2 linked regions of the Rhinolophus ferrumequinum genome follow. The main gene of each other region encodes a partner of the protein of the gene in region 2 in a complex. Links are inferred from orthologs where the notes say so. Each region holds a gene or a part of one and is shown on either strand. Other genes may lie near its edges.

Evidence for each region.
Region 1: TADA2A (region 2) and KAT14 share a complex: the UniProt entries of both Homo sapiens proteins name them as parts of the ADA2A-containing complex. The link is inferred for Rhinolophus ferrumequinum from reciprocal best matches to the Homo sapiens genes TADA2A and KAT14.

What each region holds. Positions count from the first base shown.
Region 1 is NC_046306.1:38,431,111-38,441,632, forward strand, and holds the start of KAT14 (cysteine-rich protein 2-binding protein), read left to right. Parts: upstream 1-6,723; 5' UTR 6,724-7,044; coding exon 7,045-7,303; intron 7,304-9,195; coding exon 9,196-9,314; intron 9,315-10,522. Other genes in the region: protein PET117 homolog, mitochondrial, read left to right, coding at 2,865-2,960, 6,574-6,723. UniProt on the Homo sapiens protein: Component of the ATAC complex, a complex with histone acetyltransferase activity on histones H3 and H4. May function as a scaffold for the ATAC complex to promote ATAC complex stability. Has also weak histone acetyltransferase activity toward histone H4.
Region 2 is NC_046304.1:23,901,604-23,911,926, forward strand, and holds the start of TADA2A (transcriptional adapter 2-alpha), read right to left. Parts: upstream 4,016-10,323; 5' UTR 3,949-4,015; intron 3,708-3,948; exon of another isoform or gene 3,580-3,707; intron 1,740-3,579; 5' UTR 1,644-1,739; coding exon 1,619-1,643; intron 1-1,618. Other genes in the region: ACACA (acetyl-CoA carboxylase 1), read left to right, coding at 4,166-4,171, 4,351-4,616. UniProt on the Homo sapiens protein: Component of the ATAC complex, a complex with histone acetyltransferase activity on histones H3 and H4. Required for the function of some acidic activation domains, which activate transcription from a distant site. Binds double-stranded DNA.

The sequences.
Region 1 (10,522 bases), on a different chromosome or scaffold from region 2:
TGCTTCAGAAAGTGGCAAGAACAATGGGTTGTATATCCCAATGAAATATTATTCAGCCACAAAAAGAGGGGGAATCCTGCCATTTGCAACATGTATGAAACTGAAGGGCATTATGCTAGGTGAAATAAGCCAGATACAGAAAGACAAATACTTTTTACATGTGGAATCTAAAAAAGTCAAACTCATAGGAGCAAAGTGGAATGGTGGTTGCCAGTGGCTAGGGGGGTGGGAAAAATGGGGAGATGCTAGTCAAAGGATAAACAGCTTTAACATGTGTGTGGTACATGTGTTAAGTATTTGCTAATATTATGAAGTAAGTTCTTCCCCATTCTTGTCGGCGAGTGGGCCTCAATTTTAAGTTTTAGACCTTGTAGTAGGAACTCCGCTTGTAGTCATTTCTGTGATTATTTCAGGAGCAGATCTCAGCTAGAGTCTCCAATGGCTAAGCTGGACTTTCCCATTTAGTCAGCATTAGAGATAGTTTACCACTGAGAGGAAGAAAGTGAGGAATTCAATACCAGCCAGCACCTAGTTCCTGAAGGAAAGTTGCTGGAAGGTTTTGACAGAGCACTCGGTCTTGAATCTTCTCCTGTGTTGGGTGACACTGACTTTAGAGTAGTAGATCCACACTCACATTTAACTTTGGGGAACAAACAGTTTCATTGCTGTCTTAGCTGTGGCTGCTATACAAAAATACCCCAGACTGGGTGGATTAAACAACAGAAACTTATTTCTCACAGTTTTGGAGGTTAGAAAGCCTGAGAGCAGAGTGCCAACATGGTCAGGTTCTAGTAAAGGCCCTCTTCGTGGTTTGCACATGGCCACCTTTTTGCCTTGTCCTCATATGGTAGAGAGAGGAGCTCTAGTCTCTTTCTCTTATAAGAACACTATTCCCATAATGGCGACACTAACCTCATAATTTCATTTAAACTTACTTACTGTACGAAAGGGCCTACCTCCTAATACCATGCCAATGGGTTTATGATTTCAACATAACAATGGGAGAGGGGACACAAACATGCTTTCCATAACAGATGCTACTTGTCAACTGTCTTTTTTATTGTGATTAGTTGATACACCAGTCTGTCTTCCTTCCAGGCATTGATCTGCTTGAGGGATGGGATTGGGGATAGGGATACCTTGAATCCACTGCTCCTAGCACATTCAAAGTTTGTTGAAAAAGAAGAGAAAATCAGCAAATCTGGACTTTCCTTTTTGAAAATGTATTCATTAGTAGAAACTCTTCAAGTTATCCCAGAAAACTGCTTTTGTTTAAACACTGCACACACTTAAAAATATAAACTAGATGAAAATTATTTTAATGGGAAAAAAGTTGGTTTCAATGTTTGATGGTATGCAGTCATTCTCTCACAACCCAGTAATTTATAAGACAATAATCATACAAAACATCCTGCTTAGGTTTATAAATATTTAAACAGATAATCCATGTTTTAATTTGACATGGCTAACACAAAAAGGATTTTTTTTTAAGTGAAATAACAAAACATTTCAAGAAGACAAGTTAAAAAATTAGTCATCATAGAATGAAAGACCATCTAACTCTCTGGGGTACATTTTAAGGACACGTAGCTCTGTTGAAGGCCCGCTGACTCGGAGGGAAAAAATATCTGGAGTTTACTACAAGTAAAAAGCAGCATAATATGTTTTTTTTCTTTTTCTTTAAAGAAATATGCAAATATACCGTGAATAAATAGCTTCTAACTCCAAGGTATGTTATAGCAGGAATCCCGTTTTCCAAGTCAATGGTGCATTCCTCCTGCTAATAAAAATGCTGTGGACAAAATGACATTTGAAAAAGGTATTTAATATTTTTTAATTATTTAAATTTTTATTATGTTAAATTTCTTAAGAGCAATATCACATCATGCCATTTATGTTCGCATAGCAGAGCCTGGAATAGCACAGCACTAACAGAGATGAATGTCGAAGAAGCCCTTGGGAGAGGCTAACCAAAACTGAGCCCAAATCAATTATCTTCCAGAGCTGTTTCCACAGCAAGAAGTCTGTTCTCTGTGAATTCCAGGGGGAAAGAATAACTTGATAACACCTCTTCATTAAAAAGCCAAACGTCTTTCTGTGCCTTGGACAGTACCTTCCACTATTCTCGAATCACTCTTTCATCCTATCATTTATGTTCCTAGTGATGTGGGTAAAAGTGACCTCTTAAGGATTTATTACATGGGCAACAAGGTAATCAGTTCTCTTCATATCAGGAGGCAGGGAGGTGTGCTGCCCAGTTAGAATGCTCTTTAGCTATAAGGCTTTTTGATTTTAAGAAAAATCAGACATTGAGCAGCACCCCACAACGTCAAGGTAAAAGCAGGTGACCGCGTCTACATTTAACTAGCAAAACTCCATCTCCTGGTGGCACCTCCTCGGTCAAAAGTACAATGGGGGCTGTGTTTGATGAAGCTGGTATTGAGCAAAGCATCTGAGTCAGCAAGGTACCCCGGTAGGAATCCCGCTACACCAGCACTCCCACCCCAGGACGCCCCCAGTCGCTGCGGGAGGGGAATAAAATGAGGTGGCTCAAGCATCCTTCCCCCCCACACCCCCGCAAGGTGCAGTGGCCACTTTTGGGCCAGGGCTCTTTAGAATTTGAATTGGGAGGATTTTAACCCCGCCGCCCGCAGGGTAGGGAGTGGATCCCTCTAGTCTTAGTGCCTCACTCGGTGCTCGGCTCTCGATTGTTCGGGCCTGGCAGCCGCTGGCGTCACTCGCGAAGACTGAGGCTCTGCGCTCGAGCTGTCGGGCCTGGCTTGCACAGGCAGCGACGCGCGTTAAGCTGTTGCCCTGGGGCCTCGCGCTAGTAGGAGGGGCTGACCGCGGTGGCCCGCGCGGGGATGTCGAGGACCTCGAAGGTAGTGCTGGGTCTCTCGGTGGTGCTGACGGTGGCCACCGTGGCCGGCGTCCATCTGAAGCAGCGGCAGGATCAGCAGGTCGGTGTCACGTGACCATCTCTTCCGGGGGGCGCCCAGCGGCGGCGGCCTTGGCCTCTCCGGTGTCCGCATGGTTCCCGTCTCCTGGTCTTCTGTCCTCTCGGGCGGCGCGGCCGGGCGCCTCCACGCTTTAGCTAGTGCAGTCCCGCGGCCGCCGGCTCGGCCCTGGGTTCTGCAGCCCCAGCGGCCGCGTGCGCCCTCGAGACCCAGGCCAATCCGTCCTGGCCCGCGCCTGGAGCCCGGCCCTCCGCGCTGAAGTTGCCTGGCTTCCGCGAACGCCCGCGGGTGGGGTGGTCAACGGTTCCATTTTCAAGTCACAGACAGCCTGCAGTGATAGAACCTTTCAGCATCTCACTGGGGCCGCTAGAGAGTAGAAGAGGGGAACCGGCTTCCTTGGGGTGCATTCAGCAAGTTACCGGCCTCTCTTCACTCCCCAGACCCTAGACTGGGTCCTACTTTGTTTAAATGCTAGAAAGATTTTATCCCATGATGAAGAAGGCATCCTTGCACCCGCCTTCGTGCCTTTGGCAAAGGTAATTTGGTGAGATGCTTGAATTTTTTTTTTTAAGCAGCAATTTGCTATGGAAACTATATTCTGGGAACGACAGCGATACTAGCCTCCAATTTTTCTTTTTTTGGTACTTTTATTTCTGGAAATATCCGTGGCTTACTGATCAGTGAACTGACCGTCCATTCTGTGTCTTTCAATTCATATTTTCTTATTCAAGTTGGCAAACGTTTAATGACTGATCACTGTGTGCCAGGCACCATACTAGGCACTTTGGGGAAACAAAGATAAGGAAGCACAGCCGCTTCTGAGACTATAAATGATTCAAAACAGTGCAGAATGTTGAGTGTGAGAACGGGAACTAGGTCATTGGTGAACTCTTAGAGAATACCTTGGCGCAGTTGTTGGTTGAGCCTAGTTTGCCAAGGGTGAAAGTAATGAACTGGATGAATCAACCTTAAACTCATTTCTTGCATTGGACTCTGCTGTGTCCTCAATATACAGAGATGACTGGTCTTTGACCTTGGTATTCACAGTCCACAGAAATCAGAGGAGAGGAAGCCTGTGAGGATACAGGAACGTTCGGGAGGAAGGCACAGGACGGCTAATAATGATAGGGCATGGAAGAGATTTGGGATGAAAGTATGGGTTCTAACTGGTTAGCTTTTGGAATAGAGGCAGGAGTCTTCCTCTTCTAAGAAGGAAGAGATGGTGATCCTAAGAAAATTTGAGATGGAGTAGAGGATGGTATGTCAGATGTAGCTCCGAGGTCCGTGAACAGGGATTTTCAGAGTGTCTGGTATGGCTGGGTTAGAGTTTGGTTCTGAACCCTAGCTACACATCTGATATTCCTGGGAAGTTTTTACAACGCAACTGAGGCTGGGCCCTACTCCAGACCTTTTAGATCAGAATCTTTGGGGGATGGGAATCCATCTTAGGCGTTTCAAAAGCAATCCAGGGAATTCCAACATGCAGCCAGGGTTGAGAACCGCAGTTAGAGAATGAAAGAACAGGAAGATTTGGATAGCTGGAAGTTAGAGATGAAGAACAGATTGATTAGAATAACCTGTGTTTGTCTTATATGCAGTCATTTATTTTGGGCTTAATTTCTGGCAGTGGGAAAGAGTTGGTTACATGATTGACATAGTGGATGTGTCAGAAGGTTCAAGGAAGCAAGAAATAATAACTATTGTTATTGTTTCTTGACTGTTTACCGCATACCAGGCACTATACTAAGCTCTTCAAGAACATCATCTTTAATCCTCATAGGAACTCAGCAAAACAAATAGTACTTACATGAGGAGTCAGAGTTAGAATTGGAATAATGAAGAGGTCTTAGTGGTTAGTAAGGTTAGTAATGGAAGTCACAAGAAGGATGTAGGAGGCAATCAGCGTAGACATTGAAACTTGGAGAAAGAAGCAAATAATGCATGGAGAACAAGCTAAAGTCTCTGAAAAGGCAGGGTAGAATCTCAGAGGCAGGTGTGGAATGATTCCAGTGGCCAATGTGGGGTTTGATGGGTGGGGTGGATATGTAGTTATGTCATGGTGTCAGGAGCACAGGACAGGAAGAACTGGGGAGGGAGCAGTGGAATGAGCACCTCCATTTCTGTCTGGAGATCTTGCCAACGATGTAGGTATCAAGAAAGTTGGCTGTCAGTTGAGTTATCGGTCCCAGGACTTAAATTTCTCTACTCCCCTGTAATAGAGAATGAAGCTCTAGGCCTGGAGGAGGTCTAGCAAGTAGGTACTTGGTTACTTTTAGATAGACATAATAATTTTAAAAAACACATCCAGGCCCTGGGCCCAAGCCCCATTAATTCTACCACACAAGGCTACTGTTAAAAGCTTATTAGAGCATTTTGTGACCTGTACACTATAAAATGTTAGTTGTTAGTAATGACTGGATTGATGCTTTAAAGTCTCATTTTAGGTGTCAGGTCCATGTTTTGGAGTTTTCTACCTGTCTTTAGTGCTTATCAAAGTAACTACCATTAATGGGCCTTTAGTTTTTCCTGTGGTAGTAGCGTTCTTTTTTTTTCCTTTCTCTCCCTTTATGTGATTGATTAGTAATTCTGTATAATTTTTACTTTTTATATATGAGAAGAAGCTGGGTTCTTTACTTTCTTTTCTTTTTTTTTTTTTTTAGATTTTATTGGGGAAGGGGAATGGGCCTTTATTATTGGGGAACAGTGTGTACTTCCAGGACTTTTTTCCAAGTCAAGTTGTTGTCCTCTCAATCTTAGTTGTGGAGGGTGCCGTTCAGCTTCAAGTTGTTGTCCTTTCAGTCTTAGTTGTGGAAGGCGCAGCTCAGCTCCAGGTCCAGTTGCCGTTGCTAGTTGCAGGGGGCGCAGCCCACCATCCCTTGCAGGACTGGAGGAATCCAACCAGCAACCTTGTGGTTGAGAGGACGCACTCCAACCAGCTGAGCCATCTGGGAGCTCAGCAGCAGCTCAGCTCAAGGTGCTGTGTTCAATCTTAGTTGCAGGGGGCGCTGCCCACCATCCCTTGCGGGACTAGAGGAATTGAACTGGCAACCTTGTGGCTGAGAGCCCACTGGCCCATGTGGGAATCGAACCTGCAGCCTTCGGAGTTAGGAGCATGGAGCTCTAACTGCCTGAGCCACCGGGCCACCCTGGGTTCTTTACTTTCTTGCATGCACCTTACAGCTTGTTCAAATTTTAGTAATCTTTTTTTTTTCTTTGATGTTTTTTCAGCTAGGATAATTGCTAACAGGAAAGTAGCTCACAGACTTACTGTAGTAACTCCTTAAACTTTTAAAGAATCATACCAAACTCCTTGTAAAATTCAACATAGTGGTAGTTTTTTCTATTTTTAGTTGTTATTTCCAATCAAGTTTTCTATACTAAATGTTTATGAATTTCTTTAAATATGGTAAGTAGTCATTTAAATGATGACACTACCAAATTAATTTGATGGTTTATTACATTTTCCATTTGTACAGAAAGTTAAAATAGTAATTGGGTATTTAGAATCTGAAAGTTTTAAGTGTATTTTGGTAACACTGTTATTTGGATTTGAATGGCACACGGATGGGAACCACCTGTTCAGGGTGTTACTGAAATCTGTTTCTTACCCTTTTAGAGGCTTCGTGACGGAGTGATCAGAGACATTGAGAGGCAAAATCGGAAAAAAGAAAACATTCGTCTTTTGGGAGAACAGATTATTTTGACTGAACAACTTGAAGCAGAAAGAGAGAAAACGTTATTGGCAAAGGATCTCAAAAAACATTGACTTAAAGTGAAATGTGGAATATTGATGGGACAGATAATGTTGAGTGTATATGCGTGTGAATATGTTGATGGAGAATAGCTTAGTGAGATCTTCAACCTGTTTTTGTCACTGTCATTTTAAACTCGATCAAGTAAAAGGACAATGGGCCATGTATTCTAAATTATTACTTTAAAAGTTCTTTATATCTGAATAGAGAAATGGGCTGACACTTCTGAAGAGTCTCTTTCTGTTTGTGTAATCCTGATAGAAGCTGCTTTAAGCTTGGTGTCCAGAGTTTAGGATTGTTACGAAAAGCACTTCTGACCCTGTGAGAAGGAGGGGATGGATAGTAACATCCACTTGGGTAGTTTGATAAGTCGCCACGATGATGAAGCCACAAGAACATCTACCTCAGAAGGACTGGAGGAGGGTGAAGTGGAGGGGGAAACTCTGCTGCTTGTTGAATCCGAGGACCAGGCATCAGTGGACCTGTCTCATGATCAGAGTGGGGATTCCCTTAACAGTGATGAGGGAGATGTGTCCTGGATGGAGGAGCAGCTGTCCTACTTCTGTGACAAGTGCCAAAAGTGGATCCCTGCTAGTAAGGAGCTTCTCAATTCCTTTCATTTGTCAAGTCCTATGTGGTTTTTTTCCTAACTGAAAGACACATGAATGTAAACTAGACCTAAATAAAAAGATAATTAGTATATTTATTTTTAGTTTAGTTGATTAACTACAAATTTATATAAAACAGACACATTTGTACCAATAAAAATTACTATCAACCTCTATCACATTGTTAAATTTGAACATTCTTGATGGCAACCCAATAAAAATTAGATAATTGGAAGTCCTGTGTTACTTAAAGAATTATCCAGAGTTTCGTAACAAGATGATGTTAAGAATTTGGGGCCAAATTTCTAGGCCCAGTGTAGAATTAAAGTTCGTGTTCATAAAAATTACTCCTAATATTTAACTACATGGAAAACTGCTATTGTATGCTGAAGCAAGGTCAGAATTAGCAGATTAGAAGTGTTTCGTGCTCGTCTAGAACCATTTTTGTTTTCTACTTGTTGGTCTCTTTGATCTGCTGGCAAGAGATATATACACACATGGTTCCCTGATACTTCAGTCTTTCAACTCAGTCTTTTCAATTGCTAGGTTCCTGGTTCTAAAGGAAGGGTATGCTTTGTCAGTCATCATGAGTCTTACCAAAACAGGATTTTTCCATTAGGCAGATAACCAGTAGAGACGTATATATTAGAGACTTTGTGTGATAGAATTTCTAACTAGGTCAGAGAAATATTTACATGTATATAATTGTGAAGTGGGTCATTTTCTGGCATGTGGAAATGTTTCTGTTAAGATTCAACTAGTCATATTAATAGTTACTACTAATAGATAACTTTTGCACAGAAAACAAACCTAGAATTTATTACATATTAGGTAGTTTTTGCTTTTGAGTTGTTTCTTTCTGCTTATTAATTCAGGGTCCTGCCTGAAAAGCTCAGTGGCTTTCCCTTTGTCCTTACAGGCTATATTTTAAACTGACCTTTATGATTGGAAACCTGCTAACTTTAGCCTCTGTTAAATAGAACTTTGCAGTTAGGGTGAGCTCTCAATTCACAGACAAGCCTTTTTATCCCTAGGACTTAGCACATGTTAATTTCCTCTCTGGAATATGCATCTCTATAGCCTCCATGTCGTTCCCACCCCCACTGCACCCCAACCCATATACACAAGTGCCTCTCTCTCCCCCTGGCCAATTCTAGGCATCCTGTAGAACCCACTTTTTCTAGCTCTCCTATCTTCCTAATATGGGTTGGGCTCCCCTTTTATGTGCCTTAACATTGCCCTTGCCACAGATCATGTTTCATTGCAATGGTTTTATGCCTTCCAGAACATCAGCGTCACCTGGGGAACTTTAAAAAATGCAGAAACCCAGGCCCCACAGCTTGATTCATTTCATGTGGGGTAGGCTGAGGCATATTAAAAACAGAAAACAACTCCCTGGGTGATTCCGGTGCGCAGTGAGGATGGAGGGCCACTGTGCCGTTGTGATTACATCTGTCCTCGTCTCCCTTACGGCATTTGTAAACTACCCAGAGCAGGCAGTATGGCTGTTCTGGGTGTGGTATGCCCAGTTTCTAGCCCAGTGCCTGACAGTGGGAGCTCAGATGTGTTTTGAAAGGATGTGTGAAGAGACCTATAGGAGTCAAGAATGTTAACAGCTGGAAAATCCAGTGGGAGCAATAATACATGCTTTTCCCAGTATCTTTTCTCCTGAAAGTAAGGAACCACTGATCTTGGTGGGCATGCACTAGATGTTGGAAGAATAAACATCTTTCTTCTCTGCTCCCTTCCCTGCCCACTTCCTGCTATGGGCTGGCTAAAAACAGGAAAAACAGCATGGGAAACTTGGAGAATTTGTAAACCTTTGGGTTACCAGTGCTCTAGATAAACTTATAATATGCCTTTTTTTTTTCCTCCTAGGTCAGCTGAGGGAACAGCTCAGTTACCTTAAGGGTGATAATTTTTTTAGGTTTACTTGTTCCGATTGCTCAGAAGATGGTAAGGAGCAGTGTGAAAGGCTGAAGCTAACATGGCAACAAGTGAGTAAAAAGCTCTTCTGTAGAATTCATAAGGTTGGTCACCCAAGGAATTTATTGGAATATCTAGAGAAAAAGGAATTTAAATGATGAGCTTTTGAGTTGTCTTGAGGGTCACTTTTTATTTCCCAATGAAAATTATATACAGAATATGTACTGAAAGTTATTGGTACTCGCTGCTAACTTAGTGAATTGGGTTTGAGATTCTTGAAAACTTCACACACACAATTTCATTTACATATAATAATGCCAAACTCAGATTTTAATTGAGAATGAGATTTACATTTTTCTGGCAGCTATTTTTGGAATAATAAAATTTTTTAAAATGTGAAGATGGCCACATTAGAAATAGATTTGGAAGACATAATGTGGCTGATTGCAGAACCAACATCATCTAGCTTTTCTTCATTTGAACTCACATATTTGAATATTTTTTGTTTGATGAATACTTATGTCTGCTTTTAATCATCTTCAATACTAACACCTTTATCCAACCATATAGCCTGAAGAGTAGCTTTTTACACTCTTTGGTTGTATTTTATTGATTTTGTTTTTATATTGTCTATAGTAGGCACAATGTATATAGTCTTTAAGTTCTAAAAAGGAATGAGTTATACATACACAATTTTATGTTTATTCATTCAGCAAATATTGAGTGTCTATGATGAACCCATACATTGTTTTAGGCTCAGAGACTACTGTGATGAACGAGACAGCTAAGACCCCGGCCCCAACCAGCTTACATTCTGGACATTTATTTTAGATAATAAGCAGACAAATAAATAATTACCCATAGCGCTTTTTTGCTGTGAAGGCAATAAGCAGGGTAATAAGAAAGAGATTGTAGATTATACCATGCAAGCCAGTGAAAGTGTTCCCTGTAAGTTGTGGTTGCTTTAGCAGCCTTAGATTTATTTTAATTATCAGTCCTTTATTAGGACGTCTAATGAAATCTGTCGGTGGTAAATGGAGGGAGCCTTTTTGACTTGTCTGAAAAAATAAAAGTAGAAAATGAAGGGAAGTTTGTATTGAGGATATAGTGTTATGAATATTGTAATTGCGGTATTTTTCTCAAGATGTACATGGGGGCTTCATGTAGACAAGGTCCAATTAGTATTAATAGATTATTCTGATGTGTGCACTCTTAGGCAGATTTGCGTTTGGCCTACAAGTAAGTAGCTTCTCAAAAGTTATAGAACAGAAGAGGAACA
Region 2 (10,323 bases):
ATGTTGAATTTACTGAAGTTGATAACACTACTGAGGTTATATAATAAAATATACCTATTAGGAAATAAACCCTAAAGTACTCAGGAATAAAGGGCCAAGATATTTAGCTGGTCCTCAGATAACATTTTTTTCCTTCAATGTCATTTTGTTACAATGTTGATGACAGAAAAAAAAAAAAATCAATTCTGGCTGGAGCCGGTGTGAGGAGTTTCCACATTCTCCCCATATCTGTATGGGTTTTCTCCGGGACTCCAGTTTCCTCCCTCATCCCAAAGATGTGCATGTGAAGTCAACTGGCGTCTAAATTATCACAGTGTGAGTGAGTGTGGGGTGTGTGTGAGTGTGCTCTGCGGTGGGAGGGCATCCTGTCCTGGGTCGGTTCCCACCTTGTGCCGTGAGCTGCCGGAATAGGCTCTAGCCACCCTCAACACTGAACAGGAATAAGTGGGTTGGAAAAGAATTACTATCTTGTTTTTATTCATCTTTCCTAAATATAGCTTGCGTTTATTTCAATGTTTAATATTAGAAGTGTTTTGAGTCTTTATTTAGAAGTTTGGTGATGTTTTTGTGACAAGCAACATGCCACAGGATTGTAACTCTTGTTTATATCAATTAGCCTATGGTAAAATTGGTCTCTTATACGTCGTTTTACTTAAAGTTGCATTCCAAGATGATTCCAAAAAAAAAAGGGGTGTGTGTATGTCTACATATATTTGTCAATATATAATAAATATATATATTTATTGAGAGAAAGAAAGAAAGCACGTAAATGGAGTAAAAGATTAATGAAAGGTGTACAGGTATCCTTTGTACTATTCTTATTCTTCTAACTTTCCTGTAAGTTTAATATTACTTCCAAGTAAAAAGTTTAAAAATTATTTTTAAGGAGGGACAATTAATTTAGGTTCTTTTTCCATGTGCAAAATGAGAAATTTGAACCAGATGTGTTTGAAGACTTTATTTTGTACTAAGTTTATATAGAGTGTGATGAGAGAGTAAATTAGAGCCCCTATAAAAAAATTGCTGAAGAGGAAACAATACCCAAAAATACCCTTTTTGATTCTTCTCATTGGGATAATACTAACATCTTCCAATGGATTTCTATTTCTGCCAAATCTCTTATCTTCAGAATCAGCGAAAAAGCACTATTTTTCTCTATAGTTGTGGCGGCCTGAATTTATCTCACACATATGCCACATTTCTCTGCATTATTATTATCCTGTGGTTTACTCTGAAATGGGGAGAGGTGCATTTCCTTTATTCTACCACAGACATTATTTCTTATCAAGGCATCACAAATATGTTATTGGTGCTAAAGAGAAATCCAAATGCTTTTGTGGGTCTAAACGCAGGTTAATCATACTATGCCGGGTCTAGCTGAGCTTAGTTTTCTTATAAAACCTAGGTGATATGTTTGTCATGTGTTCAGTGGGCAATCTCATTGATTGAACCCACTTATATTAAGTATTGGTTGATTTTATTTTGATTTGAGACTCTTATTTCTTTAAGATCAGATTCACAGGACTTTAACTTCAAAATGCTTGTTTTTCTTCTTTGACCAAGTTCCACTACAGTTTGCTATTAATATTCACCTGAGACTTGTTCACATAGTACTTACTGCTAAAGGAACCCAAACGGTCCATTCCCTAATTGGCAGAGACTTTGATCTTCCTCAATGCAGTGCTCCTTCAAGGAGATTTCAGAACTGGTCAACACATACACCAAAGCTTGATGTCCCCCTATGAACAAACCAAAGTGGCACATGGATCAGGAAATAATTCGAGTAAGTAAGAGAAAGAAAAGATAATGCAACATACTCAACTCTACCACATCCTTGCTTTGTGACACTAAGAAAATATTTTATTTCTATAAGCCTATTTCCCCCTCTGTAAAATGGGTATGATATAATAGTATCTATCTCACAGAGCTGTTGTGAGGATTAAATATCAAATTAAATATCCATACAAATAATGTACCATGGTGCCTGGCCAATAGTAAGCCCTTTACAAAGGCGACATTTCCCTAGTACACTACTGATTTTCTCTTCTTGGTCTCATTTCTCTCCTTAGCCCCCTTTCCTTAGGGAAACAGACTCTACATTTCATATGGTTCTGGTGGGGTTGCCACTTGGAATACTCCGTTCTCTACCCCCACAACAGCTTAAATGACCAGATCTCAGAGAAATCTGAATCTTGAATAAGACATACAAGGATGGAAGGTAGTTGGAGTTCAGTTATTCACTAGTCAAAGAATTTGGTCCATGAGCTCTGGCTGTTGAGATCCGAATCCCCAAGAGTGGCTAAACTGTTTAGTTTTCTTCTTTTTCTCATTTCACTCTTTCCAATAACACTTTAATATATGAATAAGTGTCTTTACCAGAAACCCAGGAATCCTATCCATTACAACATGCATTTGTTCACCAATTTACTCCTTGAACAAATATTTAATAGGTATGTACAATGTACACAGTATCTTCTTTAAGGCAGAAATACAAGTATGTATTTCACACTAAGCCAAGAAAACATCCCTCCTTCTATACTCCCATAGCTTTTTGTCTATCTCTTTTATGGCATTTTTTTACATTCTACTTTGTGAGGATTACGTATGAATACCTATTTTTCCCCATTTTTAGAGTAAATGAAAGCAGGAACTATGTCCAATACAAATCTGTATGCCTTCAAGTACTAAGCACAATGCCAAACACACAAAAAGAACTCAGTAAACACAAATGTATTGGTAATGGATAAATATTAGTTCCTCAAAAGGTTAATTTAAAAGGTTCTTCTGAAGTGACTTCTTTCACCGGATATTTTTAGGTTGAGGAATAATTCATCATTAAGTGTATCAACACTCAGATAACATGGCTGTCATGACCCTGTTTTTTGGGTGGTGGGCTGGGTGGGAATAGTTATCCCTCTGCTCTAGTCTCAGAAAAAGTTAGTCTTTGAAGAAAAATGAGTTTAGCAAAGGGTATTATGCACTTGGTAATAAAATAGTGGCCAACAGTTACTGAACTTTTCTCATATGCCAGGTATTGTGGTGCCACTGTATTTGGATTGTCTTTTTGAATCCTCACAACCTGAGGCGTACTACTTTTTTTCAAAGAAGGAAAGGAAGCCCTGAAAGATTATGTTACTTGTACAATGCCTTACAGGCAGTGAACAGCAACACCATTTCGACAGAGGTTAGTTGAGTGGGTCAAGTAAAGGATGTATAAACAGTCTGATAAACATTTCCATGGCATAAGCACAATATTGCAATCAGCAGGATCTTCTTTCTTCCTCTCCCTTCTTCTCACAAGAGACATTTCTGACACTAACATCCACCAAAGAAAGGATGGGTGCTAGCTCCAAATTAACATTTGTCAAACTCAAAGTTGTTACTGGGAGAACGGAAGGTACGTGAAGAACAGCATTAAGTGTGGTACAGAGGACAGGTGCAGGCTGTGCGGTTTTGCAGACAAGGTTCAAATCCTTTCATTCTGTATTAGCTGTATGACCTTGGGCAAGTCATTTTAGCTGAGCCTCGGCCAGCCTCAGCTCTAAAAAGTAGATGAAATACCTACTTTGGAAGGCCTACCTGAAAACTCAATGGGAAACGTCTGTAAGGACATGACACACAGCGGCTGTTAACGTAGTTACGCGCTCCACCATAGAAACGGAAATACCGAGGCTGAGACAGCGCAGGGCCGGCCAGACGGCTAGACGACCCTCCCCGCGGGGCGGGACCCAAGGGGTAATGCCCCGCCCCGCGCCGCCCTCCCCCACAGCGCGACGTGGCCCGGCGCCGCACGCCCGCCTACCCGCCGCGTCTCCCCAGCCGAGGGTGTTGCAGCCTGACCCCGATCCCCACAGAACCTCGCGGTCCCCGCCTCCCCCTCGTCCGGCTAGAGGGGCTCGCACCCCGCCGCTGCCGCCGCCGCCCGCCCTGCAGCGCCTCGTGCCTCACCTCGCAGTGTCCCCCTCCTGTGCGCCGAGGAGCCGCCAGCCACGTGCGCGCCACTGGGCTTGCGTGCTCGCTCCCGAGCGGCGCGAGCGCGCCCGGTCCCCTCGCGGCCCCGCAGCGTGCCGCGCGCCCTCCGCCTCCGCCCCTTCCCTTCCCTGGCCTTCGTGGCCCTGTCTCGTGCCGCGCGCCTGTCACTGTCCTCTGTCAGAGGCCTGAGAGGATGCGGGTGAGCCCTTTGCCTGACTTTCAGTCTGACCAGTAATCACTTCTCCCGTGAGGTGCGTTTCTGGTCGCCAGAGGCTTGCCGGGGCGTGGTGCCGCTCGATCCCCGCCGGAGTGCCGTGAGGTGGGGCGGGCCGGTACTGTCCTGCTTTTGTGTTTTTAACACTCTCACTCCTGTTGCAGCAGAGGAAATTGAGGCTAAGGGACTGGGCCCAAGGACGGCGAGCTGTGGCCGCCTGTGGAAGCCGGTCTTGGAGTGCTGTTCGTGGATTTACCAGACCGAATGGTTTAAGGGTGAACAGGTTACGTTTTATTCAGATGCTTCTGGAACGTCGAAATTGTCTTCTTTGGAAAGAACCATCCCCTCTTTGGGCTTCAGAGGCCCAGATTGAGGCGCACAATGATGGGAGGATGTGGTGGTCCACTCTGATGTCAATCTTGAGGGCTAGGTATGTCCCAACATCTCTTACTACTACTACTAATTATTATAATAGCTACTATATGCCAAGTGTTTATTGCATGCCAGTCATTGTACAAAGGAGGTTACATACATGGTCTCATTAAATCTTCAAAAATAACCTTTTGAGGTAGGCACTATGCCCATTTTCCAGGTGAAGACATTTAGACTCTGGCTTATCAATAAATAACTTGGGATCACACTGCTGGAAAGTGTTGGGGAAGGGGATTCAAACTGTGGTGTATTTTAATTATTCTGCTGTTACTCTATTTAGAAGTCTGTCTTAAAGGAAAAAAAAAAGAGAAACAAAAAAGATAAAGGAAAAAGTCTGTCTTTCATAAAATTGTCCAGCCTCTTTTAGAATTTTAGAATTCATTTACACTTTCTGTCTATATGGCCTCTTTATATTTTTTAGTGTATGAGTAAAACAAGTTCATTTTGTTAAAAAAAAAAAAAGAAAATTCACTAGCAAAAATGTGAAAAGGAGCCCCCTCCCACCATGTTCAATAAACAGTTAACATTTTGCTGTGCACTCTTACAGACATTTTTCTATGCATCATATCAATAAATACAGAGTAGTTTTACATTTAATGTAGCCTAAAAATCTATTCATTCAACAAATATTTAATGAGCAGACACTGTTCTACGTTCTGGCAATTCAGCAGTGAACAAAACAAAGTCTGCCTCTTATAATGGGAGGTTGACAATAAGTAATACACGTAATATATTGCTAAATAATAGATAATGCCCAGTAATGTGGCAATATTTATGGGGTAAAAGGCAGGATAAAGGGATAAGAGTGATGTGGGATGCTCTTTTAGATGTGATAGACAAGGAAGGCCTCTTAATGGAAGAGCACATAAGCAGAAATATAATCATGAAATGAGGGAGGCAGCTATGTGGGTTTCTAGAGGGAAACTATTCTAGGAGACAAGAAATGGCAATCGCAGTGGCCCTAAGATAGGGACTTGCTTGGCATTTTGGAGAAGAAGCACGGAGACCAGTGTGGTTGGAGCACAGCAAATTACAGAAACAAGTTGGGAAATAGAGGCAGAAGTCAGATCATGTATCATCTGGTAAACCATGGTTGGACTTTGGGTTTTATTGAGATATAGAGTGCCGTGGAAGGTTTGAGAGCTAAGGAATAATCAGATTTGTTTTAAAAGGATCATTCTGGAAGCTGTGTGGAGAATAGGTGGTAAAAACATTAAAATTGGCCTTTAAAGCATAAATTATCCCTTTACACAGCAATTGTTGAAAAGATCGTTTATTAACATCCGTGTTTCACCTACACCTTAACACTTGTATAACTACTCGCACATTCTCCATAAAGAGGAGATAGGGTCAAACACTCAAGACTTATCTTCATGTCTTTCTCACCTAAACTGAAATTTTTTGAGACTGGCGAGGGCATACATCCAGATCTGAACGTCATGATTGTCAACAAACGGAGTATGAGTCATTAATGTTGTACTATTGTGGAAAAAACAGTCCCTTATGATACTAGGATCTATTCATTAAAAACATTACATTCAAGCACCTGAAAATTACCCTTTCTCTTCAATTTATGTTAGGCCCTGATTAGAATTTAGTCATTGTTCAGCCGTAAGAAAAGGTGAAATAATACCATTTGCGACAACATGGATGGATCTTGAGATTATAATGCTAAATGAAATAAGACAGAAAAACTAGAGAACCATACGTTTTCACTGACATGTGGTAACTGAAAACAACAAAAGAACAAGACAAACAAATGAAGAAACAAAACCTCATAGACATAGACAATGGTTTAGGGTTACCAGGGGGTAAGGGGAGAGGGGCGATGGTTCTAGAAAAGGGTAAACGGGGTCAAATATATGGTGATGGAAGGAGAACTGACTCTGGGTGAACACATAATATGAGATATAGATGATGTATTACAGAATTGTACACTTGAAACCTATGTAACTTTACTAACAATTGTCACCCCAATAAACTTTAATTAAAAATAAATAAATATAAGTAAAAAAAAGAATTTAGTCATTGTACTTAAGAAAGATGTGGAGAAATTAAAATGCACAGTGAGAAGAAGGATAGCACTGATTAAGGTAGTGATTTTCTGAATTTTTGCCTTCAGCAGTGTAGTGGATAGTGACATCAATAAGACCAGCTGAAGGAAGAATAGATTTGGAAGAGAAATTAGAAGTTCTGTTTTGTATCTGTGTTTTGCAACCTGAGTGGAAATGACATAATGAGGTCAGAGCTCAGAGGAGAGGCAGGGGCTAAAACTGTATAATTGTTATTAGAATTGTTTCTTTGGATGTGTGTCTTCTTTAGACAGAGCTTGAGGACAGACACTGTGTCTTTTCTTCTTTATAACCTCAGTGCCCAGAAGTGCATCCTGGACGGATATTTGTGAAATAAGCAAGTAAAGGCAAAGGTATGGATGAAGTCACTCAGGCAAAATGTATAAGGTAAAAAGAGAAGCTATATCCAATCTATGCTTTCACTGGCGGTCCAAGCACCTGAACATGACTTACAAGTAGGGTGACCATAAGTCCCAACTGGCTCAGGACAGTTCTGATTTACTCCTATTGTCCCAATATAATTAGTTACATTGTCTCATTTCACTCTCAAAAGCGTCTCAGTTTGTACAATAAATTATGTGATCACTCTTTGTAGAAGGCCCTTCAAGGTCTAGTGTCTTTCTGTTTGTCATCACTGCCCCATCTCACACGTCATTCTCCAGCCCGACGGACGTACCTTGATTTTCCGTTATGCACCCTGTTCCTTCCAAGCTTCCTTTGCCAGGGTATCTCCACTTCAACTTAGACATTACTTCCTCAGGAGCATCTCTCCTGGCCCCCAAGTCTGGGTTAAGTACCCCCTTTGCATACTTCCAGTACAACCTGTATTGAACCTGTCCTAGCAGGGATGACTAAGTACCTCGTTGCTTCCCTCACTAAACATGTCTGTAAAGGAACCTGAGAAAACACCTTTCATCCTCCTTAAGACAGAAATTTACATTACCAGGATCAATCCAGGTTGGGTTAATATTTTTTGAAGGCTGACCTTCAGAACAGATTAATAATAGCACATTCTCCAAGCCCTTCCATTCATAACTAACTCAGAAGGCTGACTTTTGAATTCGAAACCCAACGAGGAAAATTGTATCATACTGTCAGACTTTGTATTGTGGCTGCCATTGACTGAGTCCAAACTATCCCAACAACTCCTTTTCAAATACTGAGCTGCGGTTGTTAAAATCAGAAGTGCAGTTTCTGAGCCTCCCTCCCTATGGAAATGATTCTCTACCATTTCTAGTTACTTGTTACGTCCAGAGTTCTCAAAGACTTTATGAACTTTATCTCATCTAATGTTTATTTTTTCTTGTAACTGAAGTGGCTCTCTGTATTTTGGTATACAAATAGATAAAATAGAAAATCTAAAAGTCTAGCTATGCCTTTTAGGTTTCAACTTCCTCCCCTTTAAACTCTGAGACATACCAGTCAATGTAAATTAACCAGGAATTTAGGTCCCAGAGCAGAGCCCTTTGCCAGTTATAGGGGCTCTTCAAGGCTAAGAGTCTTCCTGTGACGCACTCAATAGAGAGGGCTTCACTCCACAAAAGGCCTGAGCCTCAAGGATTACAGTTCTTGAGGCCCGACTCAGGACTGGTTCCAGCCTCCTTATTCTCTGTTGCTATCTCTGGCATCAAGAGCATTGCCTTCCTCCTTCCTGCCCCTCTCACTCCACCCTTCCCTATCTTTCTCCCTTTATTGCCACCCTAGTGGAAGGAGTTAGGGAATCAATCCTTTTCCTTCCAGAAGGTTCCTAGACTGCTACTTAATCCACTCCAACTATGATCAGTCTGCAGAGGAAGGGCTGATGCACCTCTCCTAATCTGCTTAAAGAAATGTAAGATCTAGGGAGTATGTGATATCTTGCTCCCAAGAATATGTCATCATTTTGGCTCAAATAAACTTACAAACATTTAAAAAAAGAAAAAAAGAAATGCAAGACCTACATGTAGCCATTTCTCCACACAGTGACCTGTCTGGGGTGCTTCTGCATAAGTAGGAGGGCCCCAAAGATCTCAAAGGTGAACAAGAGGGGAAAGAAATTCTGGTGAAGGGCCCTGCAGTATCCCACTTTACAGATGAGGAAAAACAAGGCTCAGAGAGGTAAAATCACTTGCCCAAAAGACATTCATTTACTATGTAGCACAGCCAGAATTAAAACCACATGTGTCCAAATGTAACTTAAGAAACCGCTTCTGACTATTTAAAACTGAAGAATTTAGCAGGAATCAGGGTTTTATAATGCTATGGCCATTAAGTAGAGGTTTCATGAATCCAAACCTTTGCTACCCATCTCATCTGCCTCTTCAACACCTCACTGACTTCATTTTGATTTACAAAAAGTACAGGATATCTGTCCCATGAGTCACTGTTGATCAGAAAACTTTAAAATGCCTACTAGGCAGCCTAGCTGCATGCTTTTCAGCCTGTTATACAGGGCCTCCACCTTTTGACTGTCAAAACAGGCTCCTAAAATATTTTGCATCATTTGATGACAGGCAGTCTATTCTTTTGCAATCAACAAGTACCTAATAAATGTTTGAAATATGATTTGTAAGGAACGTGGCATAGTTTAATATAATGGAAAAAGCATGGACTTTGAAGCTTTTCTGAATTTGAATCCTGTCTCCACCCTTCACTACCCTTCAAGAATTTAGGCAAGTTATTATCTGTGCTTCTTTTCACATGTAAAATGAAAACAAAACAAAACCTAGTAAGAGTTTTGTGATGATGTATGTATAGTACCTAGTTCATGGTGAAAGTCAAATAATTGTAATTTTTTTTTCCCTTTTCTTCCGCCTCACCCCCTACTCCAGTTCAAGCTGTTGTTTCTCAGTCTAGTGTGGGACACAGCTCACTGGCCCATGCTGGTATTATGAGCCTTGCACTTCCCCCAGCTGAGGCATTCGGTCGCCAGTTGTAGGTTGGCCACTCATAGCAGCTCACAGCAGCTCCCACCGACCGCCACCGGCAGCTCATGGCAGCACACAACAGCACTCAGCAGCCCATGGCAGCTTATGCCAACCTCCGGCTGCTCACTGCAGCCCAGCTCCAGGGACAGCTGTTGTTCACAATCTTAGCTGTAGAGGGTGCAGCTCACTGGCCCATGTGGGAATCCAACTGGCAACCTCGGCGTTAGGAGCACGGCGTTAGGAGCATGGTGCTCCAACTACCTGAGCCACCAGGCCGGCCCCTATAATTATAATTGTAATTGTAATTGTAATTCTCTAAGTGCTTCATAGGATGACCCTGGGGCTTGTTTAGAACTTGTTCTAGGTTAGGTTGGCTAGTGCTTGGCATTAGAATTTTTTCATTATTTAAATCAAGAACTAACGACTGGAAACCTATAGGTTTCCAGAACACCAACAATTAAACAGTTTCTTTTACTGCTTGCTTGCTTTAGCACCTTTCTCACTATACAAAAATAATGAAAGTGTACATCATCTCACAGGTCCCAGGGCAAATGCATAGTTGCAGTCAAGGATGGATAGATAATCCAGCCTTACCTTGAATGCAGAACAATCTCAGGAGCTCTGTTCCATTTAATTAATGTAAAGAGTGAACAGACTTCTATATTATGAGACATATATTACTACTTAGTACTTTACTATAATCAAAACTAACAAGGTTAATCTGATG